3 linked regions of the Schizosaccharomyces pombe genome follow. Changing the gene in region 1 together with any one later gene gives a genetic interaction. Each region holds a gene or a part of one and is shown on either strand. Other genes may lie near its edges.

The links.
Region 2: of mag1 (region 1) and mms1, a mutation in one rescues a mutant of the other (synthetic rescue), as found in Schizosaccharomyces pombe (one study listed by BioGRID).
Region 3: mutations in mag1 (region 1) and rhp41 are lethal when combined (synthetic lethality), as found in Schizosaccharomyces pombe (one study listed by BioGRID).

What each region holds. Positions count from the first base shown.
Region 1 is NC_003424.3:2,953,112-2,956,651, reverse strand, and holds mag1 (DNA-3-methyladenine glycosylase Mag1), read left to right. Parts: upstream 1-1,787; 5' UTR 1,788-1,827; coding exon 1,828-2,514; 3' UTR 2,515-2,924; downstream 2,925-3,540. Other genes in the region: SPOM_SPAPB24D3.06C (uncharacterized protein), read left to right, coding at 1-588; SPOM_SPAPB24D3.03 (agmatinase), read right to left, coding at 3,010-3,540. UniProt on the Schizosaccharomyces pombe protein: Hydrolysis of the deoxyribose N-glycosidic bond to excise 3-methyladenine or 7-methyladenine from the damaged DNA polymer formed by alkylation lesions. Can release ethylated and propylated bases from DNA in addition to 3-methyladenine.
Region 2 is NC_003424.3:595,927-599,685, reverse strand, and holds the start of mms1 (E3 ubiquitin ligase complex subunit Mms1), read left to right. Parts: upstream 1-2,159; 5' UTR 2,160-2,408; coding exon 2,409-3,759. Other genes in the region: inositol phosphorylceramide synthase Aur1, read right to left, coding at 1-770.
Region 3 is NC_003424.3:4,594,084-4,597,842, forward strand, and holds the start of rhp41 (DNA repair protein Rhp41), read right to left. Parts: upstream 2,013-3,759; 5' UTR 1,707-2,012; coding exon 1-1,706. Other genes in the region: gid8 (ubiquitin ligase complex subunit protein), read left to right, coding at 2,356-2,456, 2,521-2,716, 2,761-3,186; tea5 (serine/threonine protein kinase Ppk2), read right to left, coding at 3,484-3,538, 3,597-3,759. UniProt on the Schizosaccharomyces pombe protein: Has a role in the nucleotide excision repair (NER) pathway. Acts in both transcription-coupled repair (TCR) which removes damage from the transcribed strand of active genes and in global genome repair (GGR) which removes damage in untranscribed DNA.

The sequences.
Region 1 (3,540 bases):
CAGAATGTACTATACTATCTTACACAGTCCATTCTTCCAAACTACTTAATCGCCGGAATAGCACAAGCTCCAGTATCGGATAGAGAAGCCGCGTATCAATTTAACGGGAAAGAAAAAACAAAGGAATTGGTTGACTGGGTTAAAGCAGAATATCTTGACAAAGGACTAGGAAATGATGTTTTACCTAGAAGCAAGGTAGAGAATTTTTTTGGTGAAGTTCCGACATCTGCAAATCGATGCATTGACTTGACAGATGTCCGCGGAAATGATGACTTTTTCTCCTCTGACCTGAGCGCCGATGATTTCGCTAAAACTTTTGGTAATCTCAAAGAAATCTCCGGCTCCACAGCACATAGTCAGTTGATACTGCTTATGTCGGAAAGGGACGAGTTCGTCTCGCCATCAACTGATAAAGCACAATTACTGAACCGATTTCGCGAATCAATTCGTCCTACAACTTCTAATAGTTCCTTAAGCGGCATCATACCGGGAGCTACACATAATGTCGGGCCAAAATCTTCACCAGAAGCTTTGAAATGGTTGATAAATCAACTTATAACGGCTTTAAGAAGCTTCATTGATCAATAAAGATTCGTAATACATAGAATATGACTTTAGCGCTAAAAGTCACGTAGAACAGTTTAGATAATTGTGATCCGGATGAAATATTCGACAAAATCTCGCAATGGAGATTTAACAAAAGTAATGTTTTAAATTCAAAAGCATACCCTTAAGCTATCAAAAGCTTCCTCAAAGTTGGAGTTTGATAACTTTTGTGATATTTTTTATCTTTGAAGTTACTTTTGAAATGCTATAAAAGGTATATTGAGAACAATTCCAGTTACTAATCTACTGTTTTACAAATTAAGACTTAATGTTTATCCCATTCCCTTCATAGCGCATTTATCCATTTTATACGTGTTAAGATTATATAACAATATTCATCTCCATACTTCTGTCATTGTAAATTAAGGCGTATAGTTACTTCAATTGTATTATGAAGACAACTGCAAAGCTTCTTTATGTTCAACGTCAATGCTAATTAGAGAAAGTAAGCTTAGTAAGGTGGATGAATAATTCTTAAAACACTATGCTTTCTTTATAGCTATTCCATCGTTTTATCCATTTTATGCCTTATTGAACGCCCAATATTTCTTTAATCTGTCATATACTCTAAGGTCGAAGAGTTGTTACTTGTTTAACGGAAGTGGTTAGTTTCCTCTGACTCTCCTTTACAACATTTTACATCTATAAAAGATCTTTGATACTAACTAATGGAAAAAGATATTATATAAATTGATCGTTTCCACCATATTGTTTTCACTGTCCAAGACGTAGAAGCCACCTGTGAGTTCTATGAGCGCACATTAGGAATGTCGGTTATCGCATTTGGAAACAATCGCAAGGCACTCGGTTTCGGTCATAAAAAATCAACTTGCATCAAAAGGGTAATGAGATTGACCCAAAATCACACATACTGACTCCTGGGTCAAATGATATTTGCCTAATAGCTAAAACACCCTTAGAGCAAGTCATTGCTCACTTAAAAAAGCAAAATGTTCTCATAGAAGAAGGTCCTATTACAAGGGCTGGAGCTGAAGGAGTTATCCTCTCTATTTATTTTCGCGATCCAGATGAAAATTTAATTGAAGTTTCAAATTACATCTAAGAATGTTGAATTTGCTTCAAGATTCCTTTTTTTTAGCTTAGGACTTGCTTACATAAATAACGAATTGCAGTGCAATTCCTAAGGAATGAAAACCCTTACCGTTTAGTCAAAAGCACATAATGAGTGATAAATTTTTGATCAATTGAATCTTTGCTATTATGACTTTGGACATTGAAGAGAAAGAAGAGATAGTCACTTCACTCACAAAAGCAGAAATCCATCTTTCTGGATTGGATGAGAATTGGAAACGGCTCGTGAAGCTCGTTGGTAATTATCGACCCAATCGAAGTATGGAGAAAAAAGAGCCTTATGAAGAATTAATTCGTGCGGTAGCATCTCAACAATTGCATAGTAAAGCTGCTAACGCAATTTTCAATCGCTTTAAAAGTATTTCTAACAATGGCCAATTTCCAACACCAGAGGAAATTCGTGATATGGATTTTGAAATAATGCGTGCCTGTGGATTTTCAGCTCGTAAAATTGATTCATTAAAAAGCATTGCTGAGGCAACAATCAGCGGTTTGATTCCTACTAAAGAAGAAGCTGAAAGGCTCTCAAATGAAGAATTGATAGAACGACTTACTCAGATTAAAGGAATCGGAAGATGGACAGTAGAAATGTTACTCATCTTTTCGTTGAATCGTGATGATGTTATGCCAGCTGACGATTTGAGTATTCGTAATGGATACCGATATCTACACCGATTACCAAAAATTCCAACCAAGATGTATGTTCTTAAGCATAGTGAAATATGTGCACCTTTTCGTACTGCAGCAGCATGGTATCTCTGGAAAACGTCAAAACTTGCCGATTATACAAAGCCTGTTAGGCCGAAGAAACACTGAAGGACAGATGTATTATATATTTAAAAGTAAAAAGTTGAATTCGATAAGTTTATTCCTGGTTGGTCTTTTACATTTTATGTACGCTTCTTTTTATTTTTGGTTTACCAATTTATAGTATCTTTTCAATCATTTCTGAATAGAATGTCTACGTCCACTCAGACGAAGCATTTTCGTCACATTACGCTTATATAAAAGAAGTGATTTTTTGGTGAATGATGGCAAAAATAACAAAAGGGAGATGAGATGTTTTAATGGGTTCATTTGCAAATATTTACAAAACACTCTTGGGTGGTTAAGAAAACCCGTTTCTGCTACATTTGTCTTTTACTTTATGTGATACAAGATAGATGACGCTCAGCTGTCTCTAACGATATACTTGCGTATGATATGTTAATAATATAATGAATAATGATTTTTTTTGAACATGCTCATTTCTGTATCTGTATCTATGATGTCGATATAAATATTGAATATTAAATAAACCAGTTATTTCAATTATTTATGTATTGGCATGTAACGAGATAAATCAGCCTCTTTTACCAAAGGATATTTCACCATCATAGATACAATGTCAAATAACAATTGCGCACCAGCCAAGGATGTTATTTCTGCAACATCGTAAGCGGGAGCTACTTCGACAAGGTCAGCGCCTACGAATTTCAGACCTTGCAAACCACGTAAAATTGCTCTCATTTCTCTAGATGACCAACCGCCAGTTTCAGGAGTACCCGTAGCGGGTGCAAATGCAGGATCAAGCACATCAATATCAATGGATAAATATACCAAATTATCACCAACTCTGTCACGAATCTTTTTGACGATACCATCAATCCCCAAATCATCAATTTCACGAGCCTCAATGATTTTGAAACCACAATCAACATCATCATCGTAGTCAGAGAAACTAGAGATAGGAGTACGAATGCCAGCATGAATGTTGGCATCTTTGCTCATAATACCTTCTTGACTAGCAAAGTAGAAATAAGAACCATGGTTTATTCCATCTGCTTCATCGCCATCGCCAAT
Region 2 (3,759 bases), 2.4 Mb from region 1:
CCAGCGTGAAGAGATGGAAAGGCACCAAAAACAACCGGAGAGTTAGAAAAACCATCAGTGTAAATGCTAGTGCCGAAGAGAGCATCAATACGGGCCAATCCACCAGGAGAGCCACGTACTGCATACGTGGCAGGTTCTAAACCATACATATTTTCATACCAAGGAGGAGAACAGGGGAAAGCCATTTGGATAAGAACACCAAATAAATTCATATAACCAAAAGTTCGAGCCCAAACTGGAAGAGTTCCAGGAGGTGCAAAGATGAAAAGAATAAATGAAATGATAAAAGGAGCCGAATAATGCATGACTCCATATGGAACCCAGGCCAAAATATCAAGGATGCTATGCGTGGTTTTCGAGAGAAGACTAGAAAGATTAGAGCCATAAAGAATATTTTCAAGTGTGGGTAAAACACGAACCCATATGGGTGGACGCCAGCGTTCTGGAATAAACCTACAAGAGTAAAATAAAATTGCCCAGGTGATGATAACAATGGCAGGAAAAAAAATTTGGCGTGTTAAAGGAACGGTCAACGCAATGGCCAAAAGACAGGCAATGCCAAATTTCCCCCAGAATCCAGGAGATTCAATGACAATACAAGCAAAAATCAAATTACCTGCTAGAAACACATATTGCAAATGTGTCCATGACCATTTCGTATTGCGTAGCAAACGAAATGTAGGCATAGGGTTTAAGCTTGTTTCCAACTTGTATTGGGATGCTCGGTTACACGCAGCAAGGCGCTTTTTTAAGGTCGAAAGAGCAGACATTGCTTCAAAGAATTATCAGAGTAAAAAAGGGAAGCGTACGAAAAAAATTTCGTAAGGAATTAACCGGAAAACTAAAGGAAAAAAAAGGAATTTTTATGAAGGAAAGAAAGTAGCTATTAAATGCAAGTGTCAAGCACTTAAAAGTAGCGATGTAAAATATTTAAAAAAAGATGGACCGATTAACCAATGTTCAGCTCACAGTTGCCAGCAATCAGGGCTATTTTTTTATTTTTTTTATAAAATTGCTAATTATATATAATATAATTAGTTTATTAACTTGCTTTTCCTCAAAAAACCAATTCGAGAAAGGAACTTTTGCAGAGGCAAAAAAGCTTCTCCGAAAGAGATACTAGTTTAAAAACCTTTGGTTGCAAATACAAACCAAAATACTCCAATTTAACTATACAATTGGAGTTAGTCGATTTCAATTGCCCCGTATAAATGGTTCTTTAGAGGTTGGTAGTGGCGAGCTGAGAATGGTACGGTCGGCTAGTATTTGTTTAGGTTTGGCAAGTGGTGTTACTGTAGCGCAACACAAGATAGCCTAGCGAAAACAACGTTATTTCGAAACTCTAGGTAATTGGAAGATATTCCTTCTCAGGTAACACTATTCGGCAACGGCAGCCAATAAAATATTTGAAAGCTAAGACTCGTTATTAAACAATAAGACACTAAGCTCCATATATAATTACCGTATCCAAGTTTACTGCACGGAAATGAGAAAGCGGAAAGTAAATCAGAAACAATTTTAGCGAAATAAAATATGAATTTCGATATAATAAGATAAAAACATTGCGGTTGAGGGTAGTATCAGATGAAGCAAATATATTATTGTAACTAAATACCTTAAGCGCATCTAGGACACGTACTTAAGCATGGGTCTATATATTCAATAACTTAGCAATGTTACGAAATATTTAGGAGGAATAGTTTTATGCACTCTTTAATACTTCAAATTTTACTTCCGTCTATATCTGTTGAATTAAGCATTCAAAATGACAATTGACAACATTAAAACAATGTAAATCTATTTGGAAGTACTAATTTTTGTTTTCGATTTCTTAATTAGGAAAACAAAAAGTGCCTACTTGCATTTTCACAGCCTTTTTCTTTGGATTCTGAATGTATACATTAGCACCCTGTTGATAATTCTTTCACGTAGGTAAAAAAGACATCATTAAGCTATTGATTTTAAATGGCCGTAGAAAATTCAAACTGTCGTAGGTCAGACAACACTTCTCTAAAGATGAAACCAAATCGTATATTTGTTAACTAGAAATCAAAATCATATATCGCATATTAATTGTTATCTTAATTTTTGTGTTCCTTAGGTTCTCGAAATTCCAACGATGGATATTCTTACATACATTCAACACAACCCAACATATTAACTCGAACAAGCCATGGTTGGTTGTCAATAATCCTTTCACATTTGGAGGAACTCGTAAGGATCTATCTTCTAAATAAGGGCGTTATATATATTTAAACCTGTACATATCTATTTTCATTGATTTTAATGTTTTTTCCGTATTTGCTAATTTCTTTGATGCATACGATTAACTAATAGCTTTTTCTATTCTATCAAAATTTGACTCTAATCAAATTAAATTGGTTCCAAGCGTTTAACTTTGTGAATTCATGGCAGAAATTATTCATCATTCAAACGTATTCACCTGGGCTTTTCATGTTTCCGAATATGATGGTGCTCCTCTCCTTTTACTTGGATCTTTTTCCTCTGTAGCTTCTGTGAGTTTAAAGCGATCTGGTGATTTACTACTTTTTGAAAGATTCACGTTGCCTGCAAGAACGAGGTCTGTTGCTTTGTTATCAAGCCATTTCCTTCAGTCAGAATCAGGTAGACATTCAATAGCGAATATTTTAATTGCTACTGAAAACGGAAAATGCTACTTGTTGCAGCTCGTCAAAACACCAGAAAAAGCGTTTCCGACGATTCGTATTAGAGATGAATTCGTTCTTGATACTCGAATGTACAACCATGAACAATTAGGAAAATCAATTGATTTATGCCCAAATGCTTCCTTGTGGGCTACTAATTCTTTTGCTGGTGATATTGTATTTTTCTTTTCACATCATCCTTCCTTAAGCAAGCAAGTCTTCGCTCAACTTTCTATCGATGGAATAATACTTCATACCATATTTGTACCTCCAAAAAGATCCTCTTCGTCTTGTGTTACGTATGTTTGTCTTTTTCTAGATTCAAATTCGAATCCTAGAATCAATGTTTATAGGTGGTCTAAGACGGAAACCTTTTCTGATGCTAGTTCTTACATAACCTTCTCAATACCGGTTCCATCCGAATTTTCTCTTGCTTCCCATATTATCCCTTGCTCCAATATTCCTGATCATTTTTTAGTATTATTGGAGACAAAGATTTGTCTGCTTTCTGTCCCACAGATAGAATGTGGGGATCTAAAATTTTTACAGACCGATCTTCCATGCAGCGGTTCACATAATTATCCATTGTCTATTGCAAATGATAACGAAACTCCGAATTGTTGCTATTTAACCTACGAAAATGGAGATTTGTATCGCATTCGTTACTCTATTTTGTCTATTGATATTAATTTAATTGGAAAGACTGGATCTTCTTTAGGAAATTTGATACTACCTTGTTATCCATACATTGTTTTTTGTGGTGACTGTTCTGATACATTAGTGTATGATGTTTCGGTATCGCCTATGTCCTTTTTTGGTAGCTTAATTGCTTGCGCTCCAATGTGGGATTTTGTGTATTCCTCATCAAGGCATAACACTTTGTTGGATGAAGACATCAATTGTAATACAGTTTATGCTACTGCTGGCATTGGTAAATCTGGGTGTTTGGTCACAATGCGTTACGGGTGCTCATCCACTACTTTGCTTGAAGCAATATTAACTGAGGGAGCTGTTTTATCAGGAATTATAAATTCTAACCACAACTCTGAATTTTACGCTTGGCTAACTTATCCTTGGCAAACACAAATTTTAA
Region 3 (3,759 bases), 1.6 Mb from region 1:
AATCCAACAACTGCTTTTGCATAGTCAATCTCTAAAAATTTAGCTGCTGCCAAAGCACAACGTTTTCTACAATGATATGCTCCATATGGCAACATTGAAGGGACATATAAATCGATGTTTCCGTATGCATTTTTAGGAACAATGTTCGCAACAACCGGTTTCGGAGTGTACAACTGCGTAGCTTCTTCATCATACAAGGGTAATACTTTATCTCCATTCTTAACATGTTTTAAAGGCTGAGCTCCTGGCTTTATGATACGACCCTTACGATACCAATGTTCAGCAGAGAAGCCGTTGCTAACATATTTGCGTGGATACACTAATTCGACCCCATTTTTTGTGTTGATTCTTCCACAGGATTTACCAGTTTTAATAGCCTGGTTCTTTTTTAAATGCCTCTCCAAAACAAAAAGCGGGTGATCTTTCAAATCTTGAATATTCCTCGGAATTCCTTCTGATTGTTCAAGCCTTAGTAATTCCGCATCCTCTATAGCATCCATGTCATTATAAAAATCCCTTGGTTTTCCAATTTTAGAAAATATTCTATTCATCCAAGCCTTTCCAAAGGGAAAAATCTCGACTCTATTCTTTAATATTTTATAATAATGTAAACAATATTTTCGGGTAACATCTTTTACATACCCATTAGCCTCAATAGCAAATACATAAGTCATTTGATTTAGATGGTCACTGGAAGCCGGTTCAAACCTTCTGTACTTGCCAATGACACTAGCATCACCAAATGGATCAACACAAACCCATTTTTGCATAGCTTTATTAAAAGCCTCTACCCAAAAAACCGGTTTGGGAGAATCAATTACCTTTAGTTTTGTATCTTCTGTAACAATATCTGAGGCATCAAGATGTGAAAGATTTGAAAAAGAAGGCTGTATGATTTTCCTACGTTTGCGAAATCTAGAAGTAATGTGTGCACTTTCAGAGATATCGCTAGATGAATCATTTTCCATTTGCTGAGACCATGCCGGAACAATTTCATGACTACTTGCTTCATTTATGGCACCTTTAAATCGAAAAGATAAAACTTGTAGTGAAAAAACTAGTCTAGTTGGAACGTTTAAATTACGAAGAATAGATGCAAATAACTGGGTTCCATAATCTCTACTACCGGAAAGCAATTTTGAGTTTTTACAAAACTCCTCAAGGGATAAAGATTCAGAGATGAGGCTATTGTTTTGTAGTAAACCATAATTCGGTTTTCTTAATCCATTGGTAGTGATTTTATATTTCCGTTTCCAAACTTCGACGAGTCCAGCCAACCCGTGTAGGAAAGTTTTGTTCCGAATCATTTGTGACTTTTGAGAAGAGGGATGAAGCGAGACACGTATACCAGGAGGAATATATTTCACAAGATAATTTAGTCTATTGTCATCGCACCAAGTGTTTCGTGTGCAAAGATGATAAGTCAAACAGAGTAAGTGTAACTGATGAATTTGAAGACGAATCTTTCTATCAACGGAAGTGATCTTTAAGCGGCTACGTTTTTCAACCGTTCGATCAACGGTGGCCTCAACGTCTCCAAAATCATGAGTTGGTCGTTCTTGAATCAACCTTTCACCATGTACGGCGGATGAAAGGAGCGAAGAATTTAAAATAGGTGCAGTTTTAATATCATTATTAGGGAGACCAAGATCTAAATCTAACCATTCTTCATCATCACTATAGGTATTATCTTCGTCACTCATCATAGCATTTATATTTGATAGAAGCCAACTTTTTTCAGTATTAAGACTCGTTGCGCCCTTATTCTATTATATTATTTTAAAAAATGAAACATAAAAAACCAATGAAACGTTTTTGAGATGCGTAACTCTTTAAAAACACTAGGGAGCACGAGTTTATAAAGATACTTCAATTAAGTAGAATATAAGAAAATGTTTTGACCATTAATAATGCACGTAACACATGAGAAAAAGATTTGTATTTATTGATACGAAAAGTAGTTCATAACGTTAAGAAAAACAAATTCCTTTTCTATTAAAATCATAGCTAACGTTGAATTTGTTTATATACAGCGTTGTAGTGAAACCAAAAATCGCCGTTAGAGTACATTATATTTTAAGTTAGAAGTTTGCGTTGCATTTTGGTAAACGGCATATCTTTGAGGTAGCGATATGGCTACTTTGCAACTTCAATCTTTAGCATTGCACAGGCTATTCGAATTTCAAATTGCCTTTTTCAAGGGTTTACTATCTCTATCCTATATAAATTTCGTTAAATTTCTTTTTATCAAGAATTGAGGCTCGTTTATCCGGTCATAACTTTTGGTAGCTTTAAAAGGTCTCTTTGTTTAGGATAGAATAGAATTTGCTACCGTTCTCTCACGAGAGCTTAAAGATGGTAGGCACTTCTTCTTTAGATATTTCAATGAGCGGTAGCTCAAGTTCGGACGCAGAACAATGGGAGAAACAGACAAAAAGTGTCCATATCGATAATTCGTAAGTAACTGAAATAGTTGCTTCGCTGAACGTTACTGATGGTTACTAATCATTGCTTGTACAGAGACGTGAATTCGCTGATTTTAGATTATTTGGTGATTCAAGGTGACGAAGAAGCCGCAAAAACATTTGCTGAAGAAGCTCAAATTACGGATTATTATATTCCTCCATATGTAAAAGAACGTTTAGAGATTTGCGAGTTAATTAAATCAGGTTCAATTAACTCTGCAATATGCAAACTGAATGAATTGGAGCCAGAGGTATGCTGAAAGCAAGTAAGGATTACGAGTTAACAGCTACATAGATTTTGGACACAAATTCAGAACTTCTGTTTGAATTATTACGATTGAGATTGCTTGAATTGATACGAGAAGTTGTTGAAGAGAAAGATACCTCTGATTTAGCGGTAGAAAGATGTTTAAACTTTGCACATGAAAATTTAGCACCTTTAGCACCCTCAAATCAAAAGTTTTTGAATTCTTTAGAGTTGACAATGTCGCTTTTATGTTTTCCTCCTTCTTCCTACAGCCCTGCCTTGAAAAATGTTTTGAATTACAGCCAACGTGAGCGTGTTGCAAACCTTGCCAACGTTAGTATATTGAAGTCTCAAGGATTATCAAATGAGTCTAGGTTGTTGTCTTTGGTAAATTTTGAGCGCTGGTGTGAAAAAGAGGCACAAAGGAATTCGATTGAAGTGCAGAAATTTGTGCCCAAAGCATCCATAAAATGATTACTTTTTACGACCTTCCTCAGTTTATGCATTTATGTCTGTTACATCCATTTAACATAAGAACTTTTTTCGTATTGTTCTCACTAATGATAATTAAATTATTGAACTCACAAATGATAATATGACATTCAATTAACAAAGCCAATTTTTGTTGTTAAGCAACATCGTATAGTATCAAGTTACTGACAAGCAAAGCAAACACAACTTTTCCTTTTAAAAGTAAGGAGGGAATTTAATGGGTTATTAAATTAGCAATATTTTTTCTATGGCGAATAATTTGATTTTCTTCATTGGTAATCATAGATAACTGTAGCGAGATGCCTTTCGTTCTCGCAAATTAAGATTGTTTAGGCTAAAAAAAAAGGTTAGAATTGGATATAAACAAAAGTGTTCCAAAACTGAAAACTTACCAAATTTCAAAATTGAGCGTTTGTCGCTTTTCCAAAAAACTAGAAGTTTCCAACAACATATTGATATTAGGGCCTTGTAATGTTTCGGCTTGCAAGGTTTGTAAAAGGAATTCCTTAAATTCTTGGCTAATTAATCCACGAACTCGGTTGACTAAAACATTTG